Linked DNA regions of Danio rerio. The protein of the gene in region 2 interacts with the protein of the main gene of each other region in a pairwise test. Links are inferred from orthologs where the notes say so. Each region holds a gene or a part of one and is shown on either strand. Other genes may lie near its edges. The genes, in order: pam16, fez1 and htt.

Region 1 (5,098 bases), on a different chromosome or scaffold from region 2:
TTCTTTAGCTTATGTTATTTTTTATGTAAAAATGTTTTTTTTATGCTTAATGTAAAGTTTTGTTTTTATTCATCCGGTGTTATTGAATGAATTAAAGTGTTTTTATTGAGGAGACATGTTAGCCATGACGCATACCGTTTTTTCTTTTTTTAGTAACCCTGCAAACCAATTCCCCAGTTGCATCTATAAACATTTAAATTATGTAGAAAAATAAATATACATTAAAAAATAATAATAAACAAAGAAAATCAAATAAAACAAACAAACACACAAACAGGAAAAATAAAAACTAACAAAATAAAAAAATGCAAACAAAAAACAAATAAAAAACAAACAAAAACTGATAAAATAACAAACAAAAAACAAACAAATTATTAAAAAAATTACACAAACAAAAACTAATAAATAAAAATAAAATCACACAAGCAACAAAAAACATAAAACCAAACAAAACAGAAAATACAAATAAAAACAAATAAATAAAAAACAAACAAAAAACATATAAAAAACACACAAACAAAAACAAATAAAACCAAACAAAAAGAAATACAAACAAAACATAAAAAAACATACAAAAAATAAATAAAAAAGGAAACAAACAAATAAATAAAAAGTAAAAAACAATCACAAATAAGCAAACAAAAAAACTAATAAAATCAATAAATAAAAACGAAACTCAAACAAATAAAAACAAACAAACACAAATACAAAAAACAGATAAATAAAATACAAACAAAAAACAGACAAAACAAACAAAAACATAAAAGTGAATAACAAATAAAAACACTACTAAAATGTATAAAAAACTAAAATAAATGAAAAACAAATCAATAAATAAACAAAAAACAATTAAATTAACAAACAAAAACAATGAATAAAATTAAAAAACAAAAAAGCAAACAAATAAATAAATACAAACAAACAAACAAAAAACGAATTAATAAAATACAAACAAAAAATGCAGATAAAACAAACAAAAACAAATAAAAAACGATTACAAAAAATAATAAGCAAACAAGATCATGTTCTAAGATCATGTCTTTTAAACCATCCATAATGCATAGCTTAAATGTTGGATAAGATCTTTCAATTATTCTTTAGATTGACATTTAGAAGACGTCATATGCGTGTCTTTCTTAGATCTTCTTCCCAACAGCAGCTGTTTGTAAAGTGTTGCTCTGCTGTTTTTGCTCGAAGGGTGTCAAAACCACAACGCGCCTCTTCTCAGAACTTCACCTGCTGTTGTTCGCGGGTCACATTAACATGACCTAGCCTTAGGTGGAGGAAACATTGTGTGAAATGTAGACTGCTGACACAATGGATATGTTGGTCTGGGCTTTTACTGATCAGCATAATCCTCAGCTGCGGTCAAATGAAGATCTCTTTTCTCAGACCGCTCAGATTTGAAGACAACTCGGTGACACGTTAATGTACAATTCAATCTATTGACAAATCATCGACAAATCACTAGCTAAGACTTTTAGCTCAAACTACAAATTGGCAGCTTTATTAAAAGGTAGCAAGGTAGTAGTTGGGTTTAGGTATTGGGTAGGATTAGGGATGTAGAATTATATCTCTATATATAGGTGGGGAGTAACGAATTACATTGACTTCATTACATTTACTTGAGTACAATTGTAGGGTAATGTGTACTTTTTGACTTCATTTAAAACTGTACTTTTACTCTTACTCAAGTAAATTATTAGAGAAAACGCTCCTCCGTTACTGTCAAATGATAATAAATATCATTCATATGACTTGTTAGCAAATTTTGTGAGGTGCCGCATTGAAGAGATTGTGTCGCAGGAGGTTGTCATAGAGACGCGTCTCCTGCTTTCGGTTAGAGCACAGGCGCTTATGTTCGAATGATGGCTGAAATCGAGGAAGACTTGCGAGTTTATACTACGGTCACGCCATGGCCATCCGCGGTTCCGAGAGGATGTCACGCAGTGCAGTGAGTTTATCAGACCAGGTCACCATCGGCTTCAAGTTCAGTCTATGTTTTCACTCCAAGATGTCTACATGAAAAGTTTGATAATGCGATGCAAGCTGTACATCAAACTGACTTTGCAACATAAACATGAACGTAAATAATATTTTTCAAGACACTTCTATACCGCTTAGGGTGCTTTCACACCTACACTTTTGTTTCAGAAGCTGTCACGTTTGCCCAGTTAGCGCGGTTCGCTTGGCATATGTGAAACCACCAATCGCTCTCGGATCCGCGCCAAATCAATCGCTCCGAGATCGCTTGAATGAGGTGGTCTCGGCTCGATTGAAATGAACTCTGGAGCGGATCGATTGCAGTGAGAAAGTGATCCGATCAGAGCGCGGTTATATCACTGTGTTTATGGATATGTAATAGGCTTACAGCTATATGAAGAGAGAATTATGAGTAGGGCGGGAAGTTACGCGAGTCTCCGGATGCCCGCAAACTAATGATAATCTCCCGATAAGGTTGCGTCTCACTCCCGGTCCTCAAATAAGCTACGTGGCGCACCCTTCTCACCCCTCCCCACCGCATCTCTCCTCGCTCTTCAAACACGACGCATGCACCTTGTCAAACACCACCAAACCACCACCTCTCCTGACAGCTGAGCAGGACTCTGCAAAATAAACCCTGACACTCTGACCAATGTAAGGAGAGTTTACTCGCACGTGACTTGTTTTATCTCTTTTGGCCCGATTAGAAACTTTGCAGTGTGAAAGCGAACCGCTCCAAGAGCAAAGAGCAACATTGTAACATTTGTAATCTCTGTTTCGGAACAACGGAATCGATTCACAGGTGTGAAAGCACCCTTAAAGTGACTTTGAAAATTATTTTATTCATAAGCAGAAATGGCTTAAATTTTCTTTTGTTTTTCCCATTTTTCTTGCCGAATTTGACTCATTTGTTTTTCTCTCCTAAACCAAAAACAAACAGACAAAAAAGGCGCAAATCTTTGATACATTATGACAAGCTTTTTAAGGACACATATACCCTTATTGATTTGATGTATTTAGTCTCTGTTATGTAACAGCTTTAATTCATGTAAACCCGTTCACACAAACACATTTTCTTCTTTATTTTCTTGTTGGTTTTTCTTTTCCTCTGTATGCTACTTTTACACTTAAGACACAGGAAAATTAACAGTACGAAATTAACCAAATATCATCACAGAACATGATCTGTACTAAACCTTCTAATGACTTTTTGGCATAAAAGTACAGAAAATGTATAATTTTGATGCATATAATGTATTTTCAGTTACAACCAAAAATATACAAGACTGGTTTTGTAGTCACAGTTGATTTTGTCAGCGTCATCTCTTACCTTCGACTGAATATAGAAAGAACCGCCGACAGCTTTGTCATTGACTTTAAATAAGTGCTCATAATTCTGAAAAGAGAATGAAAGCACAAAGTTAATATCATATTTACTCGGAGTGGGAACACTGTGATGTTTGTGTGCTGGTGAATTTGTTTGACCTTCTGGATCTCCTCTGGCGTTAGTGTGGAGATGTTAAGTATCTGCTGGGCTTCCTGTAAGGTCATTCCTGTGAAACTGGACGCCGCCGCAGACTGTCTGCCCGCTTGACCTCGAGCCTCCGCAGCCGCCTGACTGGCTGATTCACACACACAAACACACACCTGATTAATAACATCACTCATCTATTAGGATTAGGTCTGGCCAATGTGTGTGCATTATACATAAACAATGTATAGGGTCTTTTCTGTGATGACAGTACATAATATTTTGCAAGATACTAGCATTCAGTTTAAAGTTTGATGTTAAAGTGTATTGTTAAAATGTCGTTTACTTCATGCATGCAATGAGTTTAATAAAATAGTAAATATTATATAATGACATAAATTATTAATATGTTATTAATAATATATTTATAGTGATTAATATGTTAATCGTAGTGATTTAAAATGATACCTAAAAGAACATAATGCAACATAAAATATTATTTAATTGTTTCTCCTTGCAAATACTGACTTAATATAAACAAACACATATACTAAACAAGGTGAAAAAGCAATAAGTGTTATAATAGTTATTAACAATCTTTTATTTCAATTGGTTCGATAAAAAAAAACACAGAATATTTATTTTATCAATATTACATAACTAATGAATAACTATAAAAATTAATTCCATATAAATACAAAAATATAAATAAACATGTAGATTATTAAATAAAAATATAAAATCTCAATTTCTGTTTAATGGAGAGCAGATTTTTCCAACACATTTCTAAACATAATAGTTTTAATAACTCATCTCTAATAATTGATTTATTTTATCTTTGCCATGATGACAGTAAATAATATTTGACTAGATATTTTTCAAGACACTTCTATAAGTGACATTTAAAGGGTTAATTACAGTAGGTTAATTAGGTTAACTAGCCAAGTTTGGGTAAGTAGGCAAGTCATTGTATAATGATGGTTCGTTCTGTAGACTATCACAAAAAATATAGCTTAAAGAGGCTAATCCGCTTGTTAAGTGTGACGTCACGCGAAGCGGCTTCCGGGTCCAAGCGCTCTTTTCAATTGAAAGGGGAGACTCATGAAATGGTAACAATAAACGTTTACAAAGCGATTAAAGGCTTTCGAAAATCACGATCGCAGTATATATGTCCATGTCTAGTATCCGATGGCCAGAAAGTGATTATTTTTTTATAAATTGTTAAATTTTTGGTATTTGTTATGCAGCAAGCCCAGAGATTGTTGTGTACACTATGACTTTATATAAAATTAACTTTAATGTGTGATATGAATAAAACGTGATCATAAACGAGTGGTCAAATGAATGGTGGCTTGGACCCGGAAACAGTATTACATACGTCACAAACACGTCACCACTTAACAAGCGGATAATTTTGTCCTTAAAATGTTTTTTTTTTTTAATAATCTAAAACTGCTTTTATTCTAGCCGAAATAAAACAAATAAGACTTTCTCCAGAAAAAAAATAAATATTATCAGACATCCTGTGAACATTTCCTCGCACTGTTAAACATCATTTAGGAAATATATGAAAAAGAAAAAAAAATTCAAAGGGGGGCTAATATCAACCTGCAAATTCTTGACGTAAAGCTCTGGCAAATGCTC
Region 2 (6,881 bases):
CTGAATTTAAGCTTTTATCCTTACATGTACGCATATCCATCTATCTATCTCTCGCTTTCTCTCTTTTTTTCCTCTCTAGGCTATATAGCCTATGCACACACACACACACACACACACACACACACACACACATAAAGAAAGAGAGAGAGAGAGAGAGGCAAAGACTATAAAGGGACTTTGATATGTATTTGATACAGCAAATCTTTTGCTCAGTATCAGGTGCATAGCAGCAAATTTGGCGGCGAACTATAATAGTAATGATAAATTGTAATGATAAATGTCTAATAATACTGCTAATATATTATATATTAAATATAATATATTAAATGCCTGTGTGCTGATCCGCAGAGGACGAAGACTACAGGACTGTTATTTTGAAGGCGACGTCAGGAGCCCAGATTTGATTGACCAATCAGAGGAAATGGGCGTTTCAGAACCGCCTACATGTGGATAATGAATTTTAAAGTCATTTATCCGTTTTCCTACCCTAAACCAAAAAAAGAAAATCGAGCCAAAATCAGTTATTTAATTTTTTTGTAGCCAAATAAAAAAACGAAAAACGGCCGTTTCCTCGTTTTTTAAATTTCGTTTAAGATCAAAAATCGAATGAACGCAACGTACACGGACCGATTTGCATATTTATGAGTTGTGTTTTGATTTTACGAATTGGATATGCATATTTATGAATTTGTTTAGAATTTACGAATTGGATTTGCATATTTATGAGTTGTGTTTTAAATTTATGAATTAGATTTATGTATTTTTGAATTGTCTTTTGAATTTACTAACTTGATTTGCTTATTTATGAATTGTGTTTTGAATTTATGAATTGGATTTGCATATTTATGAATTATCTTCTAATTTATTAATTTGATTTGCATATTTATGAATTGTCTTTTAAATTTACGAATTGGATTTGCGTATTACTGAATTTTCTTTTGATTGATTTATTGATTTAATACATAAAGGTCAGAAAAAGTGGTTTTCAAGCAGTACAATAATAAGTGTAATACATGTTTGCATGTTTTTTTCTGAGCATATAAGTCATAAATATTTAAAGACATTTTTAAATAATTACCACTATTAAACATGTTTTGAATTAACAAAATAAATGTGAATTGAGTATGAATCTTATTTTGTAAATGAATTATTTTTTAAACTGATCTGGTTCCATATTCAATACCTCAAAATAAATGCCATACTCAAACAAAGCTCACTTCTCTTAAACAGCTGAAAATGAATTTAAATATGTTTATATTGAGTTATATAAGTATGAGCAGTATGAGTTATATAACAGTGACTGCCTCAGAAGCAGGAACATTTTGTGAAGCTTATCAACTATGAATATTTAGACTATAAAATAGGGTTTCTCTCAGATGACATCTCATTAAATTAATTTCGTTCTCTTCCACTAAGCAAGCGTGGAGCACCAGTGACTGCATTTCGCTCAAGAAGACTGAAAGTAATTGTGTTTAATCTGGGTAACGGTTGATTCAGCAGAACCTCTGGGAGTTTTCCCCAATAAATACTGGGACTGTGCTGTAGCCAAAGTCAGACAGCAATTATAGCTGGTGCTCATTCAGATTCACTCTCTAAAACAAATGAAAAAGAGTCAACGAGAAAGTACATTAGCATTAGCATTTTCTCTGCAGCCATTAGTGCTTTATAAAACTCTATATTGATTTAATGCATGAAGGTCAAAGAAAATTGGTTTTCCAGCAGTAAAATAATAAGTGTAATACATCTTTACATTTTTTACTTTATTTTTTTAAAATCAAATAAATAAATATTGAGCACCATTATTTAAATATGTTTATTTAATTTAAATAATTACAATTATTCACAGTAGACAGTGTAAGTAGGAGTAAAAAAAGTAAGAGAAGTATAACTTGCTTATATACCAAATATTTTATGCATATTTAGAACAAGTATTATCTGCTTTCATATTAAAAGACTTTATTTAAGGCTCACAAAGAAGCCTCGAAATAAAAATAAAAAGTAAATAATTAAATGTTTCCTATCTATCCTTAAAAACTCAAGGTCTTGCCTGTTTGTCAATCTTTTAGTCTTTTCAAGAGTTCACACTTAGCTGATGATTGATAATAAAGCTAGTTTGGCGTGCTGTCCCGGGAGAGAGCCCTGAGCTTATAAGATCCTCGAGCCCTGGGCTCCCTCCCGTTGCAAGGCGAGAGGGGAGTTTGAGCTCAGGCAGATCTCAATGACTCCCCCTCTTACTTGTTTTAGCAGAGTATAGCTAAAGTATTTGGATTAATTGTTTAGAGTGCTTGTTTTTGAACTGTGGGAGGAAACCGGAGGACCCGGGGAAAACCCACGCGACCACGGGGAGAACGAGCAAACTCCGCACAGAAATGCCGTCTGGTTTGGAAAGGAATTAAACCAGGGGCATTCTTGCTGTGAGGCAACAGCGCTAAAAGGAGAGAAAGTAGGGTTGGGGGGGGGGGGGGGGGGGGGGGGTTCTTCAAGACAAAGGTATTGAGATGAGAAAAGTCTAGTTATTTATAGTGAGTTAAGGATCGTCTGATAGGATAATCAGTCATTAGCTAAAGTTGGAACAGCTGTGAACAATCACAAGCACGTGATCCTCTCGAAATTTGTTTATAAATAAACTTGACTTAAAATATAATTAAATACGATCGCTTATTTATATTTACTCACAGAATAGGTACGTCATGTCACCGAATGACAGTGGAGCATTATCTTACCTGTATTTTAACATTTATTCAAATTTTTTATTTTGGCAACATAGTAGATTTTTGACATATGTGTAAACTGTTATGTAAATATACAGTGCATGTGATGCATTCAAAAAGGGAAATCTTGTCTTTAAAGCATTATTATTTAATTCACCAAACAATACTGGATTCACGGTTGCTCATTAATCAGCCTTACAACAAGAAGGTCGCTAGATCAGTTGGCATTTCTGTGTGGAATTTGCATGTTCTTCCCGTGTTGGCATGGCTTTCCTCCACGTGCTCCGACAGTCGAAAGACTTGCGCTGTAGGTGAATTGAATAAACTAAATTTGCCGTAGTGTATGTGTGTGAATGAGTGTTGTATGGATGTTTTCCGGTACTGGGTTGCAGCTGGAAGGGCATCCGCTGTGTTAAACATATGCTGGATAAGTTGGCAGTTCATTCCGCTGTGGTGACCCCTGATGAATAAAGGGACTAAGCCAAAGGAAAATGAATGAATGAACACCTTCATAATACTATGGTGTTATTTTATCTACATGGCTGATTCCCAAAACAACCTCTATTTACATTCTGATCAGGCCAAGATGACTTCCAAGAATCGATTTAATCTTTAAAATGCATTGCATTGATTCATGCATTGAAATGAACAAGTTCGGGGTACATATAACATCCACCCATTACAGTTCACACCTCCTTTTTTGTCCTGTCAACTGACAGTTGCTGTGAATGAGCACAAAGGCTTTATCAGGCTTAGAGTCAGGCTGTAAAAGGATCAAAATCCATTTAAAACAGGCTTGCGTAAGCTTTTACCCCAACATTACATTAGTCAGCAAAGTGCCATTCCACTAAAACACTGTCTGTGCCATGTCAGAATTATTGTTATGACCTTTCCCACTCCCTAGTTTTTGTGGATGCGCATTGATTTGTTTGTCTGCCATGCATTAGTCTGCGTCTATGATGAGAACCAGATAAAAAAAATCGGACTATTGTTAATGCAACGTTACAGTGATAAACCGCTTCCCCTTATTCACATTTCCTGGGGATGGGTGTGTGAAATTGAGCAGGAGTTTAAATAGCATATTGACCCCAAATCAATCGATGAAACACAAATTGTACCAATGGAATAGAACTATTTTTGCTGTGGGACATCCACTGAGGATGACGTCACAGAATTGTGCATCACATTCATAATGATAAGACAAAAAACTGTGAGAGGTATTTCTGAAATTGAGAATTATTTGTGAATGTAAGATGAATTTTTTGAGTGCCGGTGTGACCTGTGTTGTGCAATATCAGCCGTGTTATTAGACAAGATGAACTGACAAGCCATGATGGGAAGAAATATGGCCGATCACATCATAAAGCATGGCAGAGATGAAATACAACATCACACCGAATCAGATCTGGTGGACTAATTTTTCAAGCATATCTTTAGGTAACACCACATGGATAAAAATTCATATTTTGGAATAATAATACAGAAGGAATATGTTAAAATAAAATGTTAAAAATAAATCAATAATTGGAAATAAATCTGCACAGAAAGAAAAAAGAAGAAGAAAAAATAGAAATGGATGGAAGCAGAATGAACAGAGATCAAGGTTACCCCATAAATCCTGAAGGGAATAATGGGAAAACAATGGCAGGATGGAGACGATGGAGTGATGGAGGATAGGAAAAAAAAGAGGGAGGAACAAATTACCTGCAGAAGAATCTCTCCTTCTGTATCTGGGTTGAAAAAAGCCCCTCCTATTCCGATATAGTCAGAGTGAATCCACCATCAGTCAGGATGAAAGAACACAGTCATTCCCATCACAAACACGCAAGCTGGAGTCGTGATGGCCGCCCGGCTCCCTGTTCTAGTCCACGGCGTCTTGTCTAAGCCAGCCGAGGCTCAGAGTGTTGTTTTCTGAGCATTAAGCAGCAGTCGTCCTGTCGTCTCCTCCACAGAGCCTGCGCACTGACGGATGGATTCCCCCTCCCCCTTCTGCTCTCCTCATGCACCTCTCTCTCCGCCCACTTTCCCCTCCCGCTGCCAGGAGCCAAATCCCTGCATATTCATGAGGATGGAGGAAAGAAAAAACTGTACGAAGGCTTTATTCGCACCTTGAACCCGCTTGTCATCAGCCACATCGGGGGTCTCCTGGCAGGATCTATTCTCATTACGCCTCAAAGCACGCTCAAGGGATTTTCAGTGAGAACGCTGGGCCTAACAACATGAACGCCGGCTCCTTACTGTCAATCATTTGCTATTGAAATGAAGGCTATAAATCTGGCAGGATTGTATGGCTGTATAGAGTGGTTATATAGCATAGCCATGGTCTAAAAAGTCAGAAACGATTATGATTTATTTATTAATGTAATAATTTTTTGCATTTTATATATGTATTGTAGTTTTTATAATCATTTATGACTAGTGGAACAGCTTATGTAATATTATTAACCCTCTGGTGGGTTAATAATTTTTAAACAAAAAAAGTAGATCGCTTACCATATCTGAATGCTACAAAATTCTAATTTAATTGTTTAAAAGGGTAAATGGTGCTAAAATATGTAAAACTTGTGCTGTTTGTGGTTAAAAATGCCTACATTGGAAACTAATAATTTCACATTGCAGAAATATGGGGTACTGCACCCAAATTAAAATGATATGGAAAGCCAATTAACCTTAAATATTAAGATATTAACCTTACATCAGAAAGCAAATTCTTGAGCATTATTATTTATTTTTCTTTTATTAAAACACATTTATGACGCCAACCACAGAACACTTTTTGAGGTGTCATAATCCTGGACCAGGCTGTATCTTGAGCAGATGCTGTGACGGTCATGGAGGAGTGGAGACTCAGTAACCGACGAGTCTCTGCATTGATCCCGTGTGTAAGCCTGACCACCTGCCGGTGAAGTTCTTGCATCTGCAGCTTCTCCACGATGGGCATCCAGCGTTCTTCAGGTCTCCAGGTTCCTCTGCCGCCTAGACTGCAGCTCTGCATGAAAAGTTTGGCCAGAGCAGAAATGGTTTCTCTCAAGATTTTTTTCCCCTTAACTTTCAGCAATAGGTGAAGTTTATTCCTTGCCCCTGTTGCCACTGGCTTGCTTGGTTTGGTAATGGTGAAGCAGCGCATCCATGGATTTGCTCTTCAGTGTTTGGACTTTCAGCAGTGAAAATGAACCCACACTGAACTGAACTAAATTGAACTTTAACTCTGAAAACTGGACTCACACAGTTTCATTTTCAGTTTACTAGAACTTCTGTGTTAAGCTGTTTTTAAATCTGCATTGTAAAAGCGCTATAGAAAATATATAAAATGTAGCTACTGCATGAATATAGTTCACTATCATAAAATAACATATGTGAAATAAATATCAAATTTGGTCCAAAAGTTGGAGACTGATGAATGCTTCTAATTTGTCATTGATAAATTTGATATCACAAAGTTAAAAAGGTAAAATTGCATATATTTAAATATTAAAATTTACACTTAATTAGTAAGTTTAGTAAATTGCTAAATACTACATAGTTCTCCATTATATCAGTAACATTGTTAGGTGAATGTTTTGTAAATTTAATTGTGCATTTATTCTTATTCTTATAATTATTATTATTTTTTGGTTGTTAAGTCATGACGTATGAAATACTGTTTCGGAAAATATTCATTTATGACATATCACCCACTTTTTAGTCATATCACCCATTAAAGGGAATTTTACATAAAATTATGGTGTACACAACAGTCTCTGGGCTTGCTGCATCACAAATACCAAAATTTAAAGTTTCTGGCCATCATCAACAAGCCAATACTAATAAATTACCTTCAATTGTCTTAATCTTTAAAAAAATATTAGTTTATCAAATAGTTTATCAACATTTTTTAAGGAACATTATTCTATCTCAAAATGAGTATCATTTTTTAGATGTACATTTGAATGCTACATATTATAATGATCATAATCTTGTAGTGTAATCTAGAGTTACAGTGTAGATAATAGAATGATACACTCTAAAACGCTCAGTTGTTGTACACCAACATTGGGTCAAATATGGACAAACCCAACGTGTAGTCAAATTTTTCAATGAAATTTAATTACACTTTTTAACCTAATAGTTGGTTTTGTCAATATTTAATCCAACATTAAGTTTAAACAACCCACAGTTTTTAGTGTGTAA
Region 3 (6,568 bases), on a different chromosome or scaffold from region 2:
TATTGACCCTAAAATGTTTTTTATATTTTTTTTTTATTAAAAAATGCTTTTATTCTAGCCAAATTTAAACAAATAAGACTTATAATTTAAGACAAATAAGAAATGTCTCCAGAAGAAAAAAATATTATAGAAAATACTGTGAAACTTTCCTTGCTCTGTAAAAACATCATTTGGAAATATTTGAAAAAGAAAAAAATCACAGGAGAGCTAATCATTTTGACAGCAACTCTATCCAAATGAAACCAAATGAACAAAAACAAATGTCGGGTGGTCTTTGATTTTGTCCTTCACGAATTGATTGGATCATTAGATGATGTTGTTGTTGTTGTTGTTTTCTATTGGCTGAAAACAAGTGAGGGGCAGTTAGTCTGGCCACCATTAGATATCGGTGAAAATGAAGATTTTTTAAATTAAAGATCGAGAGCAGAACACATGATAAAAGTAACAAATACCATTAAAAATTCAGGATTTATTATTTTTTTTGTTCTAAGGAACTAAAATGTCAGTTCTGGTTGCATGATGACTTTTATATATTTTATTTATTTATTTATTTATTTATTTATTTATTTATTTATTCATTTATTTATTTTAACATTATGTAATGTATACAAACAAATTACAGCTCTTTGTAAGCCCATTCTCCCCATAGGGGTTTTTGTCTTTCAATTCCTTTTTTTTTCTTGCAGTTCTCAATTCATGGCACAATTTATAAGGCATACATTTAAAAATTATGACATGTATTTCGTATTTATAGACTCTTTTTATTTTTGAGGAAACACAACTGAAAAGAAAATGGCAAATAATGAGTTTGTTTTTAATTGATTGATAATGTCTTGATTTTTATTATTATATTTGTCTTTTTTATTCTGTTGTGATAACAAGCTAGTGGCTCAACAATTGAATGTAACACATGTACTCTTCTAAGGATGTATGGCAGGATGGAGCAACTTTTCCTCGCATCTTTATTGTGCCTCTGCTGTGATGCTGTCATGGAATGTGAGCAGACACAGCTGTGCTGAGATTGGAGATCATAAACAGTCCAGATGAGCAGGTGAGTGTGGCTGCAAAATAACAATAATCTTTATTAAACAAATCGGCTTATTACCGAGATTCAAATAAAAAAATTAAAAATTGAATCCAAATTTAGGATTATGGCATTTATTTCTCTTCACCCACTATCACATGTGGGTTGCTACAGGAATTTGTGACTAATCTTCAAATGAGTCATGTATGGATTGGCCTCACTGGGAATGCCACTGAGGGAGTGTGGAAATGGGTGGATAACACTGAACCGATCCTAGAGTGAGAAAAAAAATACTATGTTTTGTTTTTGAAAGAGCAAATATTTCTCCAAAGTTAAAAAAAAAATGTTTATTTACAGTGTATATGCAGTATATATTTATCCAATTTGAAATTGTTTTTTTTCAGGTACTGGATAACAAGCAAGCCTTATAGTGTGGATGGATCTGAAGTTTGTGTGGAGATTAGGCCTGAGCAGCCAAGCCTAAAAAATTGGAATTACATTCAGTGTGAAGAATTTAAACATTATAACATTTGTGAATATGAATATTAAATGTTTATTTTATTTGAATCGCCTTACCATTGCTTGTGGCTGAGAAATATGAATTAGCAGACAAATGAATTGATCTAATTTCAATTAATTAATTAATTGCTTTTTTGCTTCCATTTTCTGTAATGTTCTCTAATATAGTTGTAAAAATTTGATTTCTGAAAATTCTAAAGACATTCACAATGTCAAGTTTTTAGATGATATATGAACATTCTTTAAAAAGTAATATATTACAGCGTTATTTTACAGTGTAGAAAGTTCAATAATCAGGTTATAAAAGATGCACTTTTTAAAGTATGTGACAGTACATTTCATGTTGATCAATACTCGAGATGCTCGCGGGCCAAAGTTGGCCCATGGTAATCTTTGATTTGACCTACCATCCCATCTGAGAATAGAGGAAACATGATGGGATGCTTTTGAGATTGTCCATTCAAATTTAATGCAACCCTTTGTTTGTTTGTTTGTCTTATTTTTAAAAGTTATTTTTGAACTCCACTGTGTTATAAATGCGATTGTTTGTTTGTTATTACAATAAGTTATCATTAAAAAAGTTATAACTGCATCAATACAATTAAGATAATAATTAATAATAATACTACTAATAAAATAATAAAAATTATAATATAATAATTAATAGAATTTAAAGAATTGTTTTATTTATTTTAAAATAAAGTGAAATAAGTTAGGAAATTACCCATGCCAACTTTAATGTAATATAGTTGGGTATTTACCTTTGGCCCACAGCTCTCAATGATATTTGGTTTTTGGCCCTTCATATGAACCAGTTTGGGCACCCCTGATCCACATGGTTGCACATATTTAAATCTGACATAACATTTATAATTACCAGCCATTAATTTAATATTATTAGAATATGTATTTTGTGTGATTTAAAAACAATATAATCTGTGTTAAAGCAACCTATAGTTTTATTTAATTTGTTTGTTTTGCTTGTTTAGATGTCTTCACAATTACAGTAAATGTATAAAGTGTATTAATTTTCCAGAAACTAGCTGTCCTTTTTACACGTACAATAGGGTATATTTGCCAATATATTTGTATACACAACAATAACACATGTTCGTTTCGTCAGAAATATTACATCAAATTTTAAATTATCAAAACAAACACAAAAAAAAGTTTAGTAATTGATCAAGAACATTATCAGTCGGTCTGGCGGAAGACTTGCATCACAATCAAGCTAAGCAAGCTGTAGATGCAGACATTCGCCATTGATTTTATTATGAATTAGAGGACTTCAATTTTGACAGGAGTTTTATTAACCCGGAAATACAGCAGAACAGTTGCTCTCCTAACCCAGCTTTAAGATGGCTTTCGGAACTGGACGTGCTATCAACTACCTTCAGAGCATATTGTTTGAACAATGGTCCTAATCGGATGGTGTGCGGAAATTAGACCGGACTTGAAGGGCTTTTGTCCTCCGTGAGGGGGTGTCCGTCTCGACGACACCGTCAGTTTCCCTTCGGCATTCTGCACAGCGCTCGTTACCAGTCTGTGACACTGGCTGTCGTTTTCAGTTTGTAAATATTACCCTATCTCCGATCAGATTATATCTTCATCACAGCTTCTGTTAAAATGGCCACCATGGAGAAGCTAATGAAAGCGTTTGAGTCGCTAAAATCATTCCAGCAGCAGCAAGGCCCGCTGTCGGCCGAGGAGCTCGTCCAGAAACAGTGAGTGCTGAACTGATGTTAATGCTGTTTAACGCTTTGTTGCAGTAATAGCCCTCTGCTTCATCATCATGATCATCATCTTCATAATTAGGGCGCTGACATCACTTGACACCGTGGCCATGCTAATGTTATTATCACAACATGCATAAGTGCAGTGTTGTCTTTTCATAAGGCTGACTATTGTTGTTGTTGTCTTGGGTTTTTAATCACATGATGCTCAACACCATAGATGTGTCACAGAGCCTTGTTAGATTCTGCGTCAGTGCTGAGATCAGACACTGCGCACTCCTCAAGAACTGGCTTCAGGACTTCTGATGTCCAAGAGTGTTGTGGTGTAAAACAATTACACTGAATGAATCTGTTTATTTGTGTTTGAATGCTGCCATCTTCTGAATTTTTATTCTGACTTCCCACAACTGCTTGTCTTCGTCTGTCACTAAACATCATTAGATAAACAATACTGTCATATATGACGTACAGCTCAAACACACACTCAAAAATAGTCTTTAGTATCCAAATATTGAAAATGTAAGATGTGTCATTGTGCCTTCCCTTTACTCATAAACATCTCATAAATATCTGCTTTGGCATGTTTACTTTGATGCCATATTAAAGTATAATATTTAAGGTTCGCAGAGCATTCCCAAAAATATAATGTATATTTATATTTTGGTCATGCACTGTGTTAAGGACAGATATTTGAACCACTATTATACATGTACGTCTATATGTACATTACCGGTTTTTTACATATAGACTTTGGGGTTCTTTTTATGTTTTTATTTTTTTTAATAAAATTATTCTGTTCATCATCAAATGTAAAAAAAAAATGTAAACACTTATTTAAATATTTATTTATTACTTGAAGTTTATTAAATGAAGTTATCACTCCAGTAATTATTGCTTTTTACAATAATAATTAATATTAGAGTGATTTCTGATTGATTATGGGACTATTGGAGTAATGAAGCTGAAAATTCATCTTTAATATCACAGAAATAAACTATTAAATTAAATGATACACTACTTTTGAACAGTTATTTCATAGTGCAGTAACATTTCACAATTTTCACTGTATTTTTGATGAATTATTAACCCCCCTGAATTATTAGCCCCCGTTTATTTTTTCCCCAATTTCTGTTTAACAGAGAGAAGATTTTTTGAACACATCTCTAAACATAATCGTTTTAATAACTCGTTTCTAATAACTGATTTATTTTATCTTTGTCATGATGACAGTAAATAATATTTGACTAGATATTTTTCAAGACACTTCTATACAGCTTAAAGTGATAGTAGTGTATGTATTCTTACCTGTGTGTGTGTGTGTGTGTGTGTGTGTGTGTGTGTGTGTGTGTGTGTGTGTGTGTGTGTGTCTGTCTGTGTGATTCTGAATGACAATGTAATTTGGACATTTGCACAAAAGTTATTTTAAACATGAAAGTTTTCGTCGCTTTGCTTGCATTTATTATTCTGCTTTGTGTATTTCAAATCATGTTTAATTATTGTAACTAAAATGGGTCTCAAAAAGTATTAGACGTTGTTTGAAAGTTTGGGATGCTGTGTAGTTTGTGAAATTGATTAAACCCTACTAAGTTGGATGTCACACTGCTTTGCTTAGTGCAGTAACCAAGGCAGCACCATTATTTCTGCTGTTCTATAGGCGAAACTGACTGGATTAACATTTTAATAAAGTATATGAATAATGTTCTAGTTTAGGATTAGTTTCTTTCAATCATTATTTAGTAAATATATTTTTAAAATGTCACCAATGTTACCTGTTCAGAACTAAAGTGGCGATGAGGTCTTAATAGAAAGATTCTAAAAAAAGTCTTAAAAGTATTAAATTTTACCCTTTGACTCCTGTATATACCCTGTTGTAGTCTATTTGATAATTTTATATATTGTAAATGAATGAATGAATTATGGAAATATTATATTGGATAATCCTACAGTACATATATTATTAATATAGATAATCCTAGCTAGGGCTGCACAATATATCGTTTCAGCATCGGTATTGCAATGTGATCATTACCAATAGTCACATCGCATGATATATGTAATGTTGAGTTTATGATATAATTGATCGTTTGCACGTGATTAATGATTTTAAAAACATTCAGGCATAAAAATTGTACCATTTGTGACTTTAACAATGATTTATTTTATTGAGTTATTTTTGTTTTTATCATTCAGTTACTGTACTTAAATACTATTAGACTCAAGGAAACGATAAAACACTTTATTTTTGTTCTATCTTTTTAAAAATTGTATTTATATATTGTTATGCATGAAAATAACAACATATGCAAATACACAATTGTACCGCTAATAGCACAGCCCACAGTGAAAATGTGTTGGGGGACCCCAAAAGTCTATAGATTGTTTATTAGATTTTATGAAGATGCAAATAGTAAACACAAATTCATCAATTTCTGACAAAACACGTACATGCAAATACAGAAAAACATTGCAAATAGCTCAGACCACAATGAAAATGTATTGTCTATTAGATTTTATGGAGATGCACTCTCAAAGCAGAATCATCCCAATCAATCTAACATGATAAATCCTTTCCAAATATAGATATTACGTCATCTGGTGAAATTGTATTCTTATCACAGTACATCACAAAGTAAAAAAAAAAAAAAAAAAAATTTATATATATATATATATATATATATATATATATATATATATATATATATATATATATATATATATATATATATATATATATATATATATATATATCGCAATTCTAGATTTTTCCAATAACGTGCAGCCCTAATCCTAGCAAGTTTTCATCTATTGATTTGTCCACGCACAATCATGCTGAATGTCTTGAAATTACAGTATTTTGAATAGTAAATGTATTGAATGCAAAAGCCAGCTAGATTTTAAGTTGAATAAATATTTGAGGATTTATGACTCGTGGTCAGAGTACAGTCTTTATCGAGTGATAATGTGAAATTGCAGTTTTAATAAAAATAAAATCGAATAGTCTAGCCAGCATCTCACATTTGATTTAAAGTAGAAATATGTTAAAATGTTCATTTAAAGTAGGCATGTCACAATATCAAATTTTTGTTGTGATATATTGCACCAAAATATAGTGTGATTAACGAAATTATTGTCATTTTAAGACCATTTTATGTCACTCATTATAAGGGATGGCGCGGGATAAGATTCTGACGGTATGATAACCTTGGTTAAAAATCTCACAATATTGTAATTATTTCTCTAAAATATGTTTTTTTTTTAAATGTCTGGGTAAAAACAACTTTTTTCCCCCTAT

The links.
Region 1: the proteins of fez1 (region 2) and pam16 interact in a two-hybrid assay, tested with the Homo sapiens proteins (2 studies listed by BioGRID and IntAct). The link is inferred for Danio rerio from reciprocal best matches to the Homo sapiens genes FEZ1 and PAM16.
Region 3: the proteins of fez1 (region 2) and htt interact in binary tests that used the Homo sapiens proteins (3 or more experiments, as listed by UniProt). The link is inferred for Danio rerio from reciprocal best matches to the Homo sapiens genes FEZ1 and HTT.

Annotation. Positions count from the first base shown.
Region 1 is NC_133178.1:10,503,443-10,508,540, forward strand, and holds part of pam16 (mitochondrial import inner membrane translocase subunit tim16), read right to left. Parts: coding exon 5,063-5,098; intron 3,606-5,062; coding exon 3,469-3,605; intron 3,380-3,468; coding exon 3,314-3,379; intron 1-3,313. UniProt on the Homo sapiens protein: Regulates ATP-dependent protein translocation into the mitochondrial matrix. Inhibits DNAJC19 stimulation of HSPA9/Mortalin ATPase activity.
Region 2 is NC_133185.1:36,774,225-36,781,105, forward strand, and holds the start of fez1 (fasciculation and elongation protein zeta-1), read right to left. Parts: upstream 4,444-6,881; 5' UTR 4,416-4,443; intron 1-4,415. UniProt on the Homo sapiens protein: May be involved in axonal outgrowth as component of the network of molecules that regulate cellular morphology and axon guidance machinery.
Region 3 is NC_133176.1:44,460,956-44,467,523, reverse strand, and holds the start of htt (huntingtin), read left to right. Parts: upstream 1-2,875; 5' UTR 2,876-3,169; coding exon 3,170-3,267; intron 3,268-6,568.